Linked DNA regions of Kluyveromyces lactis. The protein of the gene in region 1 interacts with the protein of each later gene in a pairwise test. Links are inferred from orthologs where the notes say so. Each region holds a gene or a part of one and is shown on either strand. Other genes may lie near its edges.

What was found. The genes of interacting proteins can lie anywhere in the genome.
Region 2: the proteins of RAD23 (region 1) and DDI1 interact in a two-hybrid assay, tested with the Saccharomyces cerevisiae proteins (2 studies listed by BioGRID). The link is inferred for Kluyveromyces lactis from reciprocal best matches to the Saccharomyces cerevisiae genes RAD23 and DDI1.

The regions. Positions count from the first base shown.
Region 1 is NC_006041.1:1,969,158-1,980,062, forward strand, and holds RAD23 (Rad23p), read right to left. Parts: upstream 6,630-10,905; coding exon 5,478-6,629; downstream 1-5,477. Other genes in the region: SIP5 (Sip5p), read right to left, coding at 1-587; KLLA0_E22089g (uncharacterized protein), read right to left, coding at 1,835-3,247; putative acireductone synthase UTR4, read left to right, coding at 4,365-5,030; ANP1 (Anp1p), read right to left, coding at 7,205-8,557; KLLA0_E22177g (uncharacterized protein), read left to right, coding at 9,231-9,620; KLLA0_E22199g (uncharacterized protein), read left to right, coding at 10,187-10,660. UniProt on the Saccharomyces cerevisiae protein: Plays a central role both in proteasomal degradation of misfolded proteins and DNA repair.
Region 2 is NC_006041.1:906,350-916,237, reverse strand, and holds DDI1 (Ddi1p), read left to right. Parts: upstream 1-3,845; coding exon 3,846-5,090; downstream 5,091-9,888. Other genes in the region: ATP-dependent Lon protease PIM1, read left to right, coding at 1-687; COX15 (Cox15p), read left to right, coding at 1,143-2,627; MAG1 (DNA-3-methyladenine glycosylase II), read right to left, coding at 2,825-3,655; OCA6 (protein-tyrosine-phosphatase), read right to left, coding at 5,188-5,895; DOS2 (Dos2p), read left to right, coding at 6,223-7,098; KLLA0_E10275g (uncharacterized protein), read right to left, coding at 7,173-9,563. UniProt on the Saccharomyces cerevisiae protein: Aspartic protease. Appears to act as negative regulator of constitutive exocytosis. May act at the level of secretory vesicle docking and fusion as a competitive inhibitor of SNARE assembly.

The DNA.
Region 1 (10,905 bases):
CTTTTCGAAGCGGTACTATCCAGTAGATAGTCAAATTCGTCATCGGCTAAATCACCGGTCGGAACTCCCTCAAATTCTTCTGGGTCCTGTTGAAATGAACAATGCAAAGGTAACCCATCAACAATTTTTATGACCTCTTCTCGAGTCCAAGTCTGATCAAATTCTTGCAATGGTGTGTAAAAGGGAGCCAACCTCCTTTCTATAATTAAATTTTTAACTATATCTGCTTCATAGTCCAACTTATCGAAATTATAACATCCAAAAGGTGCTAAAAACCCACCATCCACAGTTTCGTTGTACTTGACCACAAGTTGTCTAGCATGCTTCTCTTTGAGCTTCTCCTTCTCCTTCAAAGACTTCTTCTTGTACGGATTCGGACTGTTGCCGTTGTAACCGTTAGCACTATTATAAGAGTCTGATCTCGCTCTCCCACTAGCACTTAACAAATTTCCTACCAAGGAAGTAGCCCTCCTATTCCGGTTAAGATTTTTTGGGCCCTGAGATCCAAAATTTAAAGACTCTGACCGTTGCTGCTTCCTATTTGCAGGGTCTTGAGGGCTATCAATTTTACCTGGAACATTTCCCATGGCTGGTTTAGATATTAGTGTATATATCCCTCTGTTTCTGATCCTATTAAATTCTGAGGTTCTTCACTTATAAGCGGTAAAATAATATCTAACTTTCCACACAACGCTAACCGGATACTGTAACTTCTGAAACAATGTATACGCAATATAACTAACACACCTTGTTATATGACTCAGTTAATCTATTGTATCTGTGAAGTTAGAAAAAAACCGTTCCTGTGTTCTCCCTATATAATGGAGTTTTGTCTCCTATAGAAATAAAGGGACGTTTTTCTTATGATGGAATTTTTGATTTCAAACCAATTTATTGCTTTATATAGCGACAAAGAGAAACCAGAACATTTGATATAACACATAGTGAAAGCCTCCTGTCTAATCCCGAACATGCATAAAAAAGTCCGAGTGACGAACTGGGAGTTAACAATCTCCAACCTTGTTCGGTGGAAGATATGAGATGTATATATGTATGTAGCTATTATCCCGAAATTCATTTCGGTCGAAAGCGTCACGATACGCAGGCATATGGCATTAAGTTGGAGGTAGAGTACCGGAAATTCTGTCTACATCGGGATACGCACTGTACTGTATTTCTAAAGTTTATGGATAACAATACAGGAGTTTTGATAGTGACACTGAAAAAAGATGTAACTTACATATGGGTATTTGGTATAATAGTGTGACTCACACAGTGAAAGAAAACTAGGTTGAAGAATAGTTGGACCAGGTTTTTGGATAGATTCACTTATCATTCCTTATTATTTCTTAGGTATATATCTTTACATTAGGAGCGAGGCGAAGTTAATGAGATATGAGCCGGGTTTTCATCAATGCTGACCGAGCAGAAAGTAATGACAGCTGATAAGCTTACAGCAGATGCTCTACAATGCCGAAAAAAGACGTACATATATATATCTACTTACTGGGCCGGAATTTGTGAGTTACTAAGAAAATCTTACTACGTTGATGTTAATGTAGGACCCTTAACTCGGCCTTCTATTTTTGACTTTCCTGCTGATATTTTAGTTTCGATCACTTTGTTAATAATATACATTTACGCGAATAAAAACAGCTTAAAGGTTCAAAGTGTCAAAAAAATATTAGGAAAAAAGGAACTGATTTGCTTGACACATAACTGTTATGATGAGACATGGAGTTTTAAAGAACAAGTACAGAGAAGAGGTGGCACAATACGTCTACGTATGTGCCGTTATATAGTCGTTAGAATACTTAGCACAGCTGAAGCCTTCTCAGAAATGGCCTTCAGCCTTTAGTAGAACGGTCATATCATCAACAGACTTGGTAACTCTTTCCACAATGGTGGAGACATCGTCTTCGGTGATGATGAATGATGGTGCCAACAAAGCAATATCACCAGAAACACCGTCGATGTTTCCTTGCATACCCATGACAGTAATTCCATTTTCGAAACATACATCTTGGAAACGGTGACCAACGTCAAGCTTGTATGGGAATGGTTCCTTTGTTTCTCTGTCCTTGACAAATTCTAAGGACCAGAATCCACCAATACCTCTGACATCACCGACGATGTTATCGTAAGCTAGCAGAGATTTCTTCAATTTCTGACCCATCAAGTTACCCTTTTCAAAGATGTTTTTAGTTAAATCGTTATCCAAGATCTTCTTTTGCACACCAAGGGCAACGGCACAGTTAAAACCGTGAGATGCATAAGTGTGGGAACCGATCATACAGTTCGAACCTTCGGCGTATGCTTTTTTGATTTTTGGACCAACTAAAACACCGGCTATGGTAACGTATCCGGAACCCAAGGTCTTACCAACACTTTGGATATCTGGGGCTTCTTCAGCTGTCAAGAAATTCTCCCAACAGTTCAACTTACCGTTAGGGTTGCTTCTACCAGTACCACACATGACTTCATCGAGCATGAACACAACGTCGTACTTATTACAGATACGGCGGATACCTGATAGATATCCCTTTGGTGGTGGAGTAGTACCTAAGGAGGAACCTGGCAATGTCTCAACGAGAACCACAGAGATAGTCTCTGGGTCGTTGTCTAAGATCAATTGTTCCAGGCTATGAATCAATCTGGCACAATATTCTTCTTCGGTTTCACCTTTCTTCATGAATCTGTATGGGTAGCATACAGGCATCTTTAGGCATAATTCTTTTTGGTCCATCAAGATTTCCTTGAACTGTTCGGCTCTTGGATTAGAAGAGATGGACAAGGCACCCAAAGTGAAGCCATGGTAAGAAGATTCTCTAGAGATGATCTTAGTTCTTTTTGGTTGGCCACGCTCCAATTGGTATTGTCTAATGATTTTCATAGCATTTTCGTTAGCTTCAGAACCAGAGCAACACCACAAAGCGGATTCAAAGGCGCCCTTTGGAGAGTTTTCAATGTAGAACTTAGCCAATTCTTCAGATTGTGAATTACCGATTAAAGATGGGAAAGTGTAAGTGTGATTCTTGGCTGCTTCTGTCATGATCCCATGGATATCCTCATCACCCCATCCCAATGCCCCGACAGCAGCACCAGTGATGCCATCGAAGACATCTTCATGTAACTTGCCATCTTTTTCAACGACAATTCTGCATCCTTCACCGCGTTTGACATGAGGTAACTTTTTAGTGATGTATCCTTGGAAGACGTAAGAGTTATTTTCGTTTTCGACAGTCATGAGTATATCTTTGTATTATAATAAAACTTGTTTGAGGTTTGAGTTTTTGTTTGCTGAGTGGATGCAAAGATGTAATAGAGAAATATGTGAGTTAACAAACAACGAATAAGTAGAACCATCCTTCTGACAGACGCCCTTTATAAATAAATTTCAAGACTAATACTTGCTTCGAATCATCCTATTCCCTCATAATGGAACTTAAAGTAAGCAACCGGCAGGAGCTACCTTGTTTAGATTATCCAATGATATCTGTATTGCAATCGAGGTATCTACGCATAATGCATAATAATATCCTCTCACAAGCGACTCTAACAAAATGAATTGTTTACGATGTACCCCTACAAAGCGAAAAACCGTCTGACCATACTAACAGCAGGAAGCTTAGTTGTATCTCCCCTCCGCATCAGTTCAACTACGAACTGAACAAGATCTAAAGATACAGTCTTTCAATCGTTAAGAACAACATAAAGTAAATAAACAGAATTCAGCCTTACGATCGCTAGCCTATTCCCATCTTAGAATAATCACGTTATACATTTTGCCCCAAGATAATGTAACTACATAGAAGTAGTGCCATTTCATTTGACAACTGTAGATCGGCCTACCGAGAAACCTGTCAAAATGGATACCCTTAATCTTAGATTACCAAATTCAATCCACTCGAAAGGATTGTCTAACGCGGTTTTGCTACGATAGATAAGCAGGAAAATACTGCGCATTGTGATGTCTGGGTTCGTGTGTGGAACGTTCCGTCGTGATCACGTGGTTTGTGGCATATTTTCAGTTATTTAATTTTTGCGCCGTCTCCAGTATCCTCTTTGGGAAACCTTCAAGTTAAGCTAAGCTGCATTCTTTTCCTTTTTAGGAAGGTGTAGCCGTTGTCCAACATTGCCTATGCTTCATTCCATTCTCGCAAGACTGATTTCCGCATCTCATCTCGCAAACTGTAAAACTGAATATTTTGTAAACCTATTCCAATCTGATGTTCTTCACGACCATGTTGGTTCGGTACGCCTAGTGAATAGGAGCTTGGAATTAATCACAGTCATTAGAAAAAAGAGCTTTAAGGCACAGTTATTTGCGTTTACTGGAAAACTGAGATTTCAATTAAGTGACAATGAGTCAATTGAAATATATCTTGGACATTGAAGGTACGGTTTGCCCTATCTCATTTGTTAAAGACACGCTATACCCTTTTTTCTTGAAACAGGTGGAATCTCTTGTCAAGACTAATGACCCTACTTTGCAGAACTTACTTGCCCAATTTCCTGTCCCACAAGATGCTTCTTCTTTGCATGAACATATTGAATCGCTAGTTAATAACGACATCAAGGATTCCGTGTTGAAGCAATTACAAGGGTATATTTGGGAGCAGGGTTACAAGAGTGGTGAGATCAAGGCGCCAGTGTATCCAGATGCAATTGATTTCATTCAGAGACATGCTCCTAATGTTTACATATACTCCTCAGGGTCAGTAAAGGCGCAAATACTCTTGTTCCAACACGTAGAAGGGGACATCGATTTAACGAAATCCATTGCTGGCTACTTCGACATTAACACGTCCGGTAAGAAAACTGAACCTCAATCTTACACCAATATTCTCAAAAGCATTGGAGTGCCTCCATCATCAGCAAGTGATGTTGTGTTTATTAGCGACAATGACAAGGAGTTAGACGCAGCTTTGGATGTAGGCATCAGCACCATCTTGGCATTGAGGCCTGGAAACAACCCGGTATCTAATGCAGAAAAATATAAAGCGCTTAATAACTTCTCATCTATATAAGACATGTCTAAGGTACACTGGTTCTCTGAATTGGGACTAAGGATATAGTGTAATGATGAATAAATTTAAAAAAATTAATGAAGGGGATATCTGATTGATTGTAACACAAATCCTACTTGAAGTTGGAAGTAAGAGATCGAACATACCACGCTCCGTCTGTTGCAGATTGACTAAGGTTGGTTAAGTATAACTGCTCATTATGAGTGCGTATGTGTGCAAAAATTGGAAGATGAATATGTGGGATGCCTTCGCTGTAGTAGGAAAATCTGACGGTATAGAGGTCATACTTGGATTGGCAAACACTACATGCTGGAGATATGAGTACGCATATTCCATATTATTAAACAAATTTGGTAGAGATAATTATTTTTGTTTTCTATTTTGAACATATTCTTCTTTCCCTACATGCCTAAAGAGACGATGGTTTATTGAAAAATCATACTACATTCAATCAGCGTAATTGTTGAATAGCATGTTGGCAGCAATTTCTTCGTTTTTGTCACATGCGAAGTAGATTTGCACCACCAAGGTCCTCTCAAAACCCAACTCGCAAAGTCTATTGATAGCTTCTTCATCTTCTGCTGAGATAGTAACATTGGGAGGCGCGCCTTGAGTTTGTCCCCCGAAATCACCTAGATCACCTTCTGCTATGTCATCTCCCAGATTTTCACCCAAAGAATCGGTTAGGGAACCGCCAACAGCTTCTAATAGCAAAGAGATAAACCTTTGTGGATCTTGCAGCATGGTCTCACGGAGATGTGGGTAACGCGTGCTTAGACTCTCGAAAAGTGGCATTAAAGCCTCTGGACGCCCAGATACAACGTCACGAAGTTGTGTAATGTCCTCCATAGTCAATCCGATTGTGCCCATTTCTTCTCCACCTAAACCAGCAGCGGATTCATGACCTTGCTCGCCATTATTGGCTTCTGCTTGTGCAAATAAATTGTCTTCATGTTCAGTGAATTGTGATGGCACGTCTGTTGCAACTTCAGAATTAGCATTCGCCCCAGCTTCACTAGTTACAGCTTCAGCTTGTTGCTGCGATGGCTCACTGGCTTCAGGAATACCCATAAGCAAATACTCCACTGCACGGTCAGGGTTGTTGAATGCTGCTCTAAGCGCACGTTCTACTTGTTCACGATCATAACCCATTTCCATGATTCTGTTCACAGTCTCGTTACGTTGAGAACCAGTGACAAACGAAGCATCAGTCGTCCCTTCTTCTTGTGTAACTGCAGTAGTACCTGTTCTTGTACCAGTGGTTGTAGCTTCCGCAGGTGCATTTGCAACTGCAGAAGTTTCTGCAGAAGCAGTGGCTTGAGATTCATCTTGGGGTTCAGTTGTGGATTCAGTTACCTTAACATCAGCCTTTTTCTTAGTTTTGCTAATCATGAATATAACCTGATCCCCTTCCTTAAGATTGCATCCTGATACGGTCTTAGGATCCTGGAGTATCTTACCTGCGTAGATCAACTTTATTTGAGATGCATCGCACTGTTTTTGTTCAGCGATCAATTCCTTGGCGTGTGAAATGGTGGCATCATCCGCCAATTCAATAGGTAGTTTTTCCTTTTTGAAATCTTTAAAATTAATAAGCATTATGCTTGTGATTTTCTTGGACTTTGTCTCAACGGTTGTTTTCTTGACTTTATCTTCTTTGCCACCCAGCCATCAGATTCAAGTTGATTTGGCATTAATTTCAATTTCTTTCACTGTTCTCAACTTTCATTTTCGATGTTGACAAAAAAAAAAACTGAAGGTATCTGACAAGATGCAGAACTCCGGAATACGCTGAAAATTACAGCTTAATGCAGCTTGATAACGTGTTTTCAGTATTTGCTTGCCTGTAATAGTTACCAGTAGTAATATGGTTTGAAGTAAACAAAATGAACAGATTATTGCAAGTACAATATTAGTATATAATGCATTTAAACGTAAATGTAAAAAAAAGTCTATTGATAAAAACCTCGATAATGATCTAAGGTGCATATTGTACAACTAGATACTCCAACGTGTTACAGTCTGCCTAATAATTGAATAATAATAGGGGATGGAAGCGATGAGAATTGAAATTAGATGGTTAAGATATCTTTTTAAAAAATATCTCGTTAGTGAAGAATGTATTTGTGGGTTTTATAATCTTCTTTACTCTTCACTGCCTAAACAGAAAATTATTAATGAGCAGGATCAAAGTCCAGTGGTACTTCATGTGAATCTTGATTATTTCCTCCGTTCCTTGAACCATCATCTGCTTCATCATCATCTGACCAGTCCACTTGAATCTTCCTATCTAGGACATTCGGATCAATGTTCTTCAAAATTTGTAACCTTTCTAGCTCCCACTCATCTCTCACGTCATCGAAACCAATATCCCAAATTCTAGCATAGAACTCTTGAATTTTTTGCTCTTCAACCCGACGTTTCTCTTCCTCGGCCATCCAGGCCATGTGTTTCAAATCGTCACTTGAAGGTTCGTAAATGTGCCAGATCACATAATGAGGTAGACCGACAACACTGTATTGCATTCTACGTGATAATTTACCAAAGGCTTCAGTTTCAGCATGTTTCTCGAAAGAGAACGCAGGGAAATGAGAACCTGTTCTAAAGACCTTAGCTTTAGATAAGATGGAAACACCACCAATTCCGTCTAGTTCCATCTCGACCTCGGGATCGCCGCTTGGGTCTCTCATGTAGGCCAAATGTGTTCTCCATGTAGCGTATTCCGGGTACCCTTCTACGATACAAGCATCTTCATCCAAAGAATCAGCTAATTGTAATCCACCCTCAGATTCAACCCATGAGTTCAAATCATATGGTTGTATATTTCCCAACCAATCGGGTAGAGGTCTCCAGACGTTTGGAACAATGACGTCTTTATCATGATGCATTAAATCTTCCAAAATAGTATTCGGTATAGTTTGAACGTCGACATCTCTCCAGTACACGTAAGAATGATACGGCTTCAAAGCCGCTGACCCAAGCCAATTTCTAGCTCTGGCCATGGATTTTCTTCTAGGGCCTTGAGCTGCAAACCCGTGTCTATCAGAAAACGATTGACCCACACTTTGACCGAAATCTTTCTCAAAAATTTCAATGTTAGCGAATCTTCTCGATTTGTCTTGGTTTGATTGAGCTCTTCTCAAATGAGAAAGAAGTGTTTTCATGGTATCATCGCTTGAATCACTGACCAAAAATGAAAGATCAATCAAGTTATGTGGGTATGTCAATTTATCCAAGGTATCGAAGAACATATCCAAATGTGCGGCTGCATCTCTCAAAGGAACACAGAACACCACCCTATCACCGGTCTGCCATCCATTGGCATTCCCCTGATAATTAATTAAATCGTAATATTCCACTCCAGGTATATTTCTGAACCTGTTACCAGTTACAGGACTTGAGACGAACGGTACGAACTGCCATATGATTGGGAAAATCATTCGAATTATAAGAAACCCCGTTACCACTGATCCTATCACGGACACAGCAGTCAAGGCATTGAACCTGCTCTTACCCTTGCTGCCCATCTATGACGGTTGTATGACGTTGTGTAGAATATTTGAATTTCCAGGAATCGAGAATAGAAGTGATTTCAAAAGTAAAGAGCGATGGATCCGGATGTTTTTATTCCTCCACAGCTTTAGCGATTGTATTTTATTGTTCGAAGAAATTTTGATACCGCAATTTTTCACAATAGATCTATAAAATGCACGCTCGTCAAAAGATCCTTATGTGTTCTTCCTTTCTCACTAATCCTGGGCGGTGCTAACCCTGTGTATTATGACACCTTCTGGAATAATAATCGGCTGCTTTAAATGACAAACCTTTTTCCTTTAGCGTTTGCAACAGATAATATGGTCTGTGCCATAATAAATACTTATAAAATATTACTATTTTCGATTGTATAGTTGCATTGTTTTCATCCATTTCAATTTCTTCGCCAAAAAAAAAAAAAAAAAAAAAGTGTATAAACTGAAATTTGGAAAAGGTAAATAAAAAGGAACTGCCAGACCCTACACGCAGTTATAAGGTGTGGGAACCAGTGATTCAACTCTCAGGGCACTGTTGGGGACCGTAAGTTGTTGTAGATAAGAAGCAACTCTACTTTTTCCCGGCTCAATTACCGCCTTTTCGCACTGTAACAGAACCTCTACTACGGCCATTCAACATAACGGAACAAAAAGGCTGGAAAGATAGCGGATGTCTGTTCTTCCCGTACAGTCACGTGACATGTTTCATCTCATTCCAATGCCTGGGAATGCCAGGCGGCAATCAAAGGACCAAATAAATACGTGTATAGTGATATGTATATGTTACCCGGGCATCGTTGGGTTTCCCTTTTTCCTACTGCTTACGAGAGGATTCCGTGAGCTTACCGTGTACGGTGATATATCATGGTCCGTGCCTGTTTCCCTCAATGCGGCCTCAGGTTCTTTGGATCTGTCGACTGGCGAATCCACCCAGCTCTTCGCCATCAAAGATGAATTATACACAACTACGTATCAAAATTGTACATTATACAAATCGTTCCGCAACCGATACAATTATGTGCCAACGTTGCCTATATTATTGACTTCGATCTGTCAGTGAATGCCGTTAAAAAACTAGAATATGCCATTTGGAAAACATACAATCCCCATAGCAGACTAGAATAGCAAGGGAGAAGACGATGGGAAAGTAGAAAAAAAAGACCTACCGTACGAATTGCTTTTTCTTTCTGTTTTCACACTCTACAAACTTTACACGACTATGAAATACATCGGTGTTTTTCCCTCTCGCTCTCTCTTTCACTCTCTCTGTACAAAATGATCGAAACTAAATTTTTCAAACTTTTTTTTTCAGTTCGACGACGAGAAAGAAAAAAAAATTTGATATTCGATTTTATATATATTGGAAACAAAATTATAAGAGTTTTTTTCTTCATGGAAAGTTGAATTTAAAGCTTTTTTTCATTTACAAGAGTGTATTTAGTCCATTTTGTATATGTTTCAGAATGATTTTGTAAACTTCTTCATTTGTTTAATTAGTTTTTCTTGTTCTCTTCTGTTTTAACTTTATCCTGTTATTAGTTATTCAGTTTTACTTGGTTTCAATTGTATTTTGTTTTCACTACAGATAGTAGACCAAACGCATTAAACAAATCACACATATACAACATGGCTGAAGAAGAACACACTTTCGAAACTGCTGGAGCTGGTGCTTCCTTGACTTTCCCAATGCAATGTTCTGCTTTGAGAAAGAACGGTTTTGTCGTTATCAAGGGCAGACCATGTAAGATTGTTGATATGTCTACTTCCAAGACCGGTAAGCACGGTCACGCTAAGGTCCATTTGGTTGCCATCGATATCTTCACCAACAAGAAGTTGGAAGATTTGTCTCCATCTACTCACAACATGGAAGTCCCAGTTGTTAAGAGAACTGAATTCCAATTGTTGGATATCGATGACGGTTTCTTGTCTTTGATGACCATGGACGGTGAAACCAAGGATGATGTCAGAGCCCCAGAAGGTGAATTGGGTGACAACATCCAAGCTGCTTTCGACGAAGGTAAGGACTTGATGGTTACTATCATTGCCGCTATGGGTGAAGAAGCTGCCATCTCCTTCAAGGAAGCTCCAAGATCCGAATAGATTTTGATATGAACAAAAAAATTCAGTAATATATTAATGGACTAAGAAATGAGAAAAAAAAGTTTTTTTATCCCTGGATAAATGGAAAGAAGAAATTGGATCAACCGTTGTTGATACGTTGAGCTCCTAATGTGTTTTGAGAGGGACAGGGGATCTTCTTTTGTTATCAGTGAGATTGGACTCGAGATGAAAAAGACTTGAAATATGATTCCTTTTTTATCCTTGCATGTTTTCACTTGTCCATC
Region 2 (9,888 bases), about 1.1 Mb from region 1:
GATTACGTAGGTCCACCAATCTTCACTACTGATAGATTATACGAATCTACTCCTCCTGGTGTTGTGATGGGTCTTGCATGGACTAGCATGGGTGGATGTGCAATGTACGTAGAGAGTGTTTTAGAACAGCCTTTGACACATTCAACTCAACCTACTTTAGAACGTACCGGCCAACTTGGAGATGTAATGAAGGAATCCTCTAGACTAGCATACTCTTTCTCAAAGATGTACTTGGCCAAGAAGTTCCCAGAAAATAGATTCTTTGAAGTTGCAAAGATCCATTTGCATTGCCCTGAAGGTGCTACACCAAAGGATGGTCCATCTGCAGGTGTGACAATGGCCTCTTCATTCTTATCACTGGCTTTGAATAAGGGTCTTGACCCAACAGTGGCTATGACCGGTGAATTGACTTTGACTGGTAAAGTTTTGAGGATCGGTGGGTTAAGAGAAAAGGCCGTAGCAGCCAAGAGATCTGGTGCCAAGACTATCATTTTCCCCAAAGACAATTTGTCAGACTGGGCTGAGCTTCCAGAGAATGTGAAGGAAGGATTGGAACCTTTGGCCGCAGACTGGTACGAAGATGTTTTCCAAAGACTATTCGGAGACGTAGACACTAACAAGGGTAACACCGTTTGGTCAGAAGACTTCAAGAAGATTGATGAAAAACGCAACAAGGAAACTAAATAAATCAAACCCAATGTCATTTATCTTATTTAGTCCCATGTAAATATATACACTACTGTAAACTAAACACAGACGAATTTGATACGAATCCACCGCCGAATGAACCCCAGGTACTACCATTCTACTTAAACAACGATTATTTGGATATACAGACAAAACGTACACGAATTCCCCATGCGGCCTTCAAATAAGTATAGAGAATTTATAGATATTAACAACATCGACAAACTGGCCAAATATAACGACATGTCAACTCGTTATTCAATAGTACGTTTTATCGGGCTTCTTTCTGCTGACGCTTTTATATAGTTCCCTTCACGTTATGGAATGATCAGGCTCAATATAAAAAAAAAAAAAAATGGAACGATGAAGCCTTTCACTAGTAACATTAACAGAAGTAAGTATTGAACCACAGAGGCCAGATTCGATCTTTTGAAGCTGACAACCTAGTTATCACTATGTTCAGAACTTTGGTTCTTGGAGGCAGAGGCCTCAGCGGTATTCGCATAAGTTCCCGTGGTTTAATGACCCGTTCAATATCAAATTTGGTAAAGACAAAGAATGTGATTCCCACTGTTGCTCTTAAGAGAGCTTTGCCAACAGTTTCAATGGCGTATTTCCATACCAGATCTATTGTCAGGGAAGCTGTACAGGTATCGCAAACTACTGGTAATGGTATAACAACAGCTACGGCATCCACGGCTAAACAAGCTAAGTCAAAACCCTTGCTAAATTCATCAAAAGTGGTAGGGTACTGGTTAGTTGGTACTTCAATTCTTGTGTTTGGTATTGTCGTTCTCGGGGGGTTAACCAGACTTACTGAATCTGGGTTATCTATTACAGAATGGAGACCTGTCGCTGGTACTTTACCACCCTTGAACCAGCAGGAATGGGAAAATGAATTCACCAAGTATAAAAGTTCTCCAGAATTTAAACAGTTGAACTCTCATATTACCTTGGATGAATTCAAGTTCATTTTCTTTATGGAATGGATTCATAGACTATGGGGCCGTGCTATCGGTGCTGTATTCATTCTGCCTGCTGTCTACTTTGCTGTCGCTAGGAAGACATCACCTCATGTTAATAAAAGATTGTTTGGTTTATCAGCACTACTAGGTTTACAAGGTTTTATCGGTTGGTGGATGGTCAAGTCTGGTTTGGATGAAACACAATTGAAGGAAAGAAAGTCCAAACCGACTGTCTCACAGTACAGATTGACTACACATTTGGGTACCGCTTTCATGTTATATATGGGTATGCTCTGGACCGGGTTTGAGATCTTGAGAGAGGCCAAATGGGTTAAAAACCCATCCGAAGCTCTTGTTTTATTCTCAAAACTAGATAACCCAGCACTAGCTCCATTGAGAAGATCTGCACTTGGTCTACTAGCTTTGACCTTTGTTACTGCGATGTCTGGGGGTTTGGTTGCTGGTCTGGATGCTGGTCTAATCTACAATACTTTCCCTCACATGGGTGATGATTGGGTACCAAGTAAACGTGAATTAATCGACGAAAACTTTGCTAGAAAAGAAGACAAGAGTGATATGTTTTGGAGAAATATGTTGGAAAACCCAACTACGGTTCAACTGAATCATAGGATTTTGGCTACAACCACTTTCTTCGCTGTGTTTGCATTCCACATGTACTGTAACAGAAACAAGGCTATCATTCCTAAACAAGTTCTACGTACTGCTCATGGTATGATGGGTCTTGCCACTTTACAAGTCACTCTAGGTATTTTTACCTTGTTATATTTGGTTCCAATCCCTCTAGCTTCTGCTCACCAAGCTGGTGCCTTGGCATTATTGACAGGTTCATTGTTGTTTGCTTCTCAATTGAGAAAACCAAGAGCCGCAATTAGAATCCTCACCGGTGGACTCTATACACAACAGCAAAAGGCCTCTTCTAAAATCTTAACTGAGGCTTCCAAACTTGCGAAGTGATCTTGGGAACTACGAATGGATCCTTTTTTTTCAATTATTTTCTTGTTTGTCCCCTTTACTTCCTATTTATTATAAACACTGGGCAGCACATTAAATGTTATCTTGTAAATATATATACTCAAAAGTTGCTACCAGTGAACTCCTACCTTACTTTAAAGTGTACTGTTTATACACAGCAATTACAATGCCTCTAATTATTACTTCGACATAAACCTTTTCTCATTATTGATGACAACTTCCATGTTAGTATCCGACATTCTCCAAAGAACGAACATAAATAACGTTCTATGGGGGCTAAATAAATCACCACAGAGCTCAACCACGTCTTCATCGTGGATTTTCCACTTGAAACTCTTGTGCTTTATTTTTGATTTCTTGATAAGAGTCCGCTTGCTGTGAAGCTTCTTTAAGATCTCTGGTCGTTGTTCCAAGTACCTTGAACATCCCCTTGCGATTCCCAAATCTTCAGCTGCAAATACATTTAAGCGATGTAAACCTGTAACTAAAAACATCTTCGCTGACCACGGTCCGATACCCTTGATATTTGCGACTAGCTCTTCGATGATTTTATCATCGTCTGCAAAGGCAAAGAGATCTTTTATAGAATCCTCGTTATTGAAAAAATATCCAACCAAGGACTCAATATACATCAGCTTCCTTTGAGATAACCCACATTCCTTAAAAGCTTGTTTCTTCTTCGAGTCTTGGAATGTTTCGTGCAGTGTCTGATAATTAGGAAAAGTTCCATCAAACATATCTACGATCCTGCCTCGAATATTCTTCGCAGCTGCACCACTGATCTGCTGTGAAATGATGCTACCTGCCAATTTATTAAAATAAAGGTCCATCGAATCCTTGGCCACATTTTCCTTGAGAAACATGGTGAAAGGACTATGCTCAATGATTTCTTTTAATGTGGGGTCAATAGTTAAGATATGTTCTATTCCATCACGGAATGAATCAATGTGCTGATCCAGATATTCTTGGTCCACATCCACCTTGAGGATATCATCCCTTGTCCTTTTCATTTCAATATAGCCTTGGCGACACTTTTGTCCGTTCTTTCTTTCTTTACTTTCGAGAAGTTGTTTTAAGGTTCTCTGACATATAAGATTCCTTTATTAATCAAGATCAACTTTAATTATCAATTATCACTTTATTCAATGGAAAATAAACACTAAAACTGAAAGTTACCATTACTAGGCAACCGTATCAGAGATGAACATCACCGTCACTTATGAGCACTCTGATGATGTCCTTGGACCTTTTGAATTGAGTGAAGATATGTCGCTTATCGACCTTTTCGCATTGATAGACTTTAAAGAGGAATCTCAGATCATATTTCACAACATGAAGCAACTTGACACTAAGAACACGAATATAACTTTGAAAGAGGCTGGCTTACAAAACCATGATATGCTTTTGATAAAACCTAAGAATCCCGCTAGTTCCCAGGCAGCTTTCGGTCAACCTCAGGAGATCGATTTGACGGATGAACAGTACATTGAACAGTTCAGGACTTTCCTATTAGAGAATCCAAGTATGGCTCAAGAGATGGGTCTTCCAAACTTAGAACATATGATAAATAATAAAACCCAATTTCATCAACTACTAGGTCCGGTGTTACTTTCCAGACGTGGTGAAAGATCAAATAACCCATTCGGTATCCCAAATTCTGAATACTCAAGATTAATGAGCAACCCTGATGATCCTGTGAATCAAGCACGGATTTCGGAGTTGACCAACCAACATGAGATTGATGAGCAATTACGATATGCGATGGAATATACTCCGGAGTCTTTTACCCAAGTGTCAATGTTGTATATAAAATTAGAAATCAATGGCCACCCAGTCAAAGCGTTCGTTGATTCTGGTGCTCAACAGACTATAATGTCAACAAAATTGGCAGAAAGAACAGGGTTGACCTCTCTAATTGATAAAAGGTTCAGTGGTATAGCTCAGGGTGTTGGTACGGGCAAAATTCTCGGGAGAATCCATACGACTCAAATCAAAATCCACGACGTGTTCTTGCCTTGTAGTTTTACCGTACTTGACACTCCAATGGAAATGTTGTTGGGTTTGGACATGTTAAGAAGACATCAGGCATCTATAGATTTGAAGAACAATGTATTGAGAATATCAGATGTTGAGACCCCATTCTTGCCTGAATCTGAAATTCCAAAGGACTCCCTTCATGCACTGACAACTCCAGCAGCTGACGAAGTAAGAAAGGCAGCGTTGAAGAGGGACTCATCTTCAGGAAAAAATGCTATGACTGGCGATGCAAACAAAGTCAAGCAGCCAAAGATTCCAAGTTCTACCACAAATCAAACTGTTCCATCGTTCGCAGAATCAGACATAAAAAAATTAGTGGATCTTGGTTTCTCTAGGAAAGAAGCTATCAATGCATTGAATAAAACTGGTGGAAACGTGGACTATGCAGCTTCCCTTTTGTTTCAATAAGCAGGTATTGACCCAAAACTCTGCGCGCAGACTATTCTCTCTATTAATACTGAAAGAGTATGTAATGTACACAAAGTAGTATCAGATAATATAACAATCAATCATCATGGAACCTAAGTGTTGGCAAAGGATCTTTTGAAGCGGATAGCTGCGGTGTTAGATCGAGGTTCTCATCGCTCTTTCCGTTCTGATGTTTCGCACCTTTATCCTGTTTCGAACCCGTGGCCCCATTGTGCTTAGATCTGACTATTATCCAAGACACTTTGTCCGAAGGTTTCACACCTTGAATATCTATCTCCAGATTGAAGTTCTCGATGAAGTTTCTTTCATGTATATTTATGCTAGACGTGTATGTCATGTACTCGTTGAATATCGATACAGTGCTCCAATAAGAGAGCTTTCGTAGACATGCTATGACTAGCGATGTGACTTCCGTGTTCGAGTTCGAACAATGGATGTAACAAGGATAATGGTTCTTGTCGATCAAAAACTTGATACATTCTATTACCACATCGTACTCTATAGGTACAGGTTTCTTCTTCCTTTTCACCTTGGGTTCGTCTTTATTCTTTGTCTTTGTCTTCTGCTTCTTGTCATCCGCACATTGTATAAAAACCGTCTCAATACCCTCCACTTCACAGAACTCAGCTAAAATAGGGTCATTAGTAATCGGTTCAGGTACCAAAGATATAATATAGTTGAGTCGAAGGGTCCTCAAAAACGGTAGGTTAATTTCTGCCGGATATGATCCTCTGTAAAATCTCGGCTGAACACAGCTAAACTGTAAGGGAGTCACCAATGACATTGAGTATTCTATAGTTGCTGCTATCCCCAAATAATACCCAAACTTGAGCAGAGACAAGATGAGGAGGCTTCTTCCTACTGTATTTTAGACATGTTGAAACTGTTCTTCTTTGCAATGAAAAGGTCCAATAATAAGGAAAATCATGAAACATTTGGAGTTTGAACCTTTAAAGGATTGATCTTCAAGAAGGGGAGGCGCAACAAAAGAGTTCTCGCGAGAAGTCTGTCGATAAGCGTCGAGCGTATCTAGCCAGACGTGTTATTTGGTGACATTAAGGTACTTTGGTAATAGCTAGCTTAGCATTAGTCGTGAAAAGCGTCTTTAGCGATGGATTTCTTATATGAAGAGACTGCAACAGAGACTGCAGATGCCGTTAAGGTGACAAAACATGATGATAAGACTGATGAGGCGTTTCAGAAGTTCGAGGACCAAGTGGATGAACAGCTCCAGAAAACTTCAAAGGCTATTTTAGGTTTTGTTAAAGAGAAGGACTCTTTGAATTTCCAAATCCCTGAGAATTTGGGCGGTACCGTTACAAATAAGGCTCAAGAGATGTTGGGGAAATTGGATGACAACTTGGAGAAAGTTGAAGAGTTGACGCAAGGGTACTGGAACACTGTTTCTAAAAAATCATTCTGGTCGTCCATGGCGAATACCATATCTACTCAGTTTCAAGAAGTGCTTGATTTCGATGCCAAAGAGGCAGAGGGATCTAACAAGGATACCGCTTTTAGCTCAATTACAGACACAAAGTTGAAACAACTTGCCATAGACAAGTCAATATATTTGAAATATAATGCAGCAAGCTTACCGAAGGATTTTGTAATAAAGGAACATTTTGAAGAGATTCAAGAGTTATTAAACAAGGATTCGGACTTGAAAAGCTTACACGAAGACGTTGTCCCAGCACCTCTTGATGATGCAACATTTTGGAATATTTACTTCACTAAGAAGGCGGAGATTCTAAATTTGGCCTCAAAGAAGCGTGACTTATTAAGTGCCAAGGAAGATCTAGGTAAAGAACAAGCAATAGGATGGGATGATGAGGAAGAGGATTCAGAAGAAGAAATTATTCCTTCTAAAACTGCAAAGGCTAAACAAGACTCCAACACTGGTAAGGAGACTATTTCTTCTGCTAAAACTGAATCAAAAGCTATCAAGCAAGAGGAAAATGACGACGAAGAAGATGATGATTGGGAGTAGTTATTGGAACCGATCTGGTGTTTCTTCGAACACTGATTACATTTTGTATTTCCCTACTTAATTAATTATTATACTTACATGTTAACTCTACGGTAAAACAGCACATATGCATTAGGTGTGATATATTCGTCCTTCCTTCTAATTTTTCTCCAACTGACATCATCAAAAGAACACCAACCAACTCTGCCTTTGTCCACAAAGGAGGTGTAATGGCCACCATAGAGCGTGCCAGAATGTGACGCCACAGCAAAGAGTCTATAGTTGAAGGGTGGCTTTTGACCACGCAATGGCAACGAAACCCCGTTATCCTTTGGCATTTCTCCATTGTAATCGTCGATCCAAAAGCCAGTTAAGTCTAGTTCATTTGGATAATTGACAAAAACGTTGTTTTTATTCATCATATTATCAAATCTTTTTAAGTGAATGATTAAATTATTAGGCAAACGTGTGATGATGATTTGTTTGGTTGATGGTTGTCTCTGTTTACAATAAGGACAATACCACAATTCGTCTTTTTCCAAAGTTTCTAGCTTGGTAAACTCTTTGAAACAGTCGTAAATTGTGCAAGATCTTGCTCTGGGAACTGGTACTGAAAGAACAGAGAATGCTTGATAAGTTGTGGACGTATGTGCACAAATTTTACATCTGAGCTGCGATGCATATTGGCCTTGGAACAAATCCACGATGACACTGAAATCTGTCGTCAAATATCTCTCCCATTCGATGGCTGAAGCAATTCTCATCGGCATGGTTTCTCTCATTTTCTCAGCTTCTGGACTTAATTCCTTAAGAGGAGGATTGGTACCACATTGGTTCAAATCTTCATGTAAACCATCTAAGAGAAATTGGCAAAATTCTTGACAGTCCTGCTGCTGCTTGCCTTTAAACAGTGAATTTATCGAGCCACACGCCAATTTGAATTGAGTTGGATGCACAGCCGTTGACTCCATATTAGTATTGTTATAAGCCTGTAGTTTCCCCTGTTGATACATCTTCTGTACTAGTTGTGAAAAATAATTCGCTAATAAACCCTTGGAACCTAATCGACTGTTCACATTGACATGTTTCCTATATGAATTGGTCAGAAATATGTATGATAGCTCATGACAACCGAGAAGACATTGAATTATGCAGTTCAAATAGCATGAATTTCCTAAATTCACTAAACCAATCGCGAAATCCAGATTGATACTAGGATGACCAGATTTAGCAACAGAGTTATTCCCGTTTGAACTCACAATGCAATTTGTACCGTTCGCATGATTATTACTTTCCTGTCTGTGGTTTTTGATTCCATTTGGTTGAAGTTTGTAAGGTTCAGAATTTCCTTCATCGTTCTGCTGTAACGCTTTCGTTAAATTACTGGTAGATGGCAACAACTGATTAGGCACCAATCCAGCAGTTTTAATACTAGCTCCATTAGTAAGGAATGGAGCATCAGGATAATGTGTGAAACTTGTAGTTTGAGAGTGACTCGGTGAATTGGCTTTTTCAATATTATTATTGTTTGATAATGCCATAGGGTGAAAATTGTGTTCCACGGGCTTCGTACGAATATCAGATATTGCCGATTCCATTATTTTTTTCAACTCCATGGGGTACTTCTCCTTCCAAGCGTTTACGCCATTTTGCAAAACTATTACCTTAGTATGATGTAAAGGTTTATCAAATGATCTATTGCAAAGAATGTCTTGTAAAACTTCTAACTGTTGCCAGTAATATTTCGTATGCTCATCAGTGTCTGTGTAAAGCACAATAAGTCGAAACTTATCACGATTCTTGAAAAGATCAACTTCTCTATCCGATGCAGTGATTAATGACTTACGCAAGATATCAGAATCCGTGTATGATTCTTTGAACGAGATCGGTTCGATGCAAATAACGTTGTTATGCTTTATATGACCATCGTTAAAATCCATCCTTGGTCTAATATCAACGAGTAAAATGCCAGATGAGTCGTTATCATGCCGTATTAGTGAATGCAACTGCGAAATTGACACAAATTCCCCATTCTCATAAGAGTGTTGAGTACCGTCATGAGCAGCTTCCTCACTGTGATTTTTGATAAACCTCTTCACTTCCCCTATCTGTTTATCATTCGCTAGTGCAGAAACCAATCTACTATAAATTTCCAGCAATTCTTTATCTTTTGAATCCTTCTTACTATTCATCTTGATCTGTTGAAACTCGGCCAACCCCGGAATAACCTGAGATGCGATCTGTGACACAATCTTATAGTAAACGTACAATGTCTCATTCAACTGATATATCTGCGATGGTGGTGTGTCCTTGGAAGCACATGAAAGTTTTCGCAGCTCGCTCTTGTATATTGACAACGTGTCTATACATTTCGCCAAGAGCTGCTTGAAATGTTCACCTTCAACATCCTCAGCCACAACCTTCGACGCTACAGCTGAAAGCTGCGAAAGTGATTTACAAAACAACTTGGAGTTATGTTCGAGCATCGTGGTTGGTGAAAAGAGTGTAAAATCCCAGTTCAATAACTAAAACCTTCGAGGTTTCTTTTGAAATCACAAAAACTGAATCTGATCCGTTATCGTTGATGCTCTTGTTAATAGAAATACAGTCCGCCTCACTCAGTAATCGGAATCAAACATAAAAAGTTCTCTCGATGCGAATAAGCACACAAATACCAAATGTATCAACAATACCAAGTAAACCAGAAACAAACCTTTGGTCTATAATGACAGGAACTTTCTCATTAACAGTACTGAACCCTTTGTAAGTATGTATCCAATTTGTCAAGATTGTTTATGTGGATCTAAATCG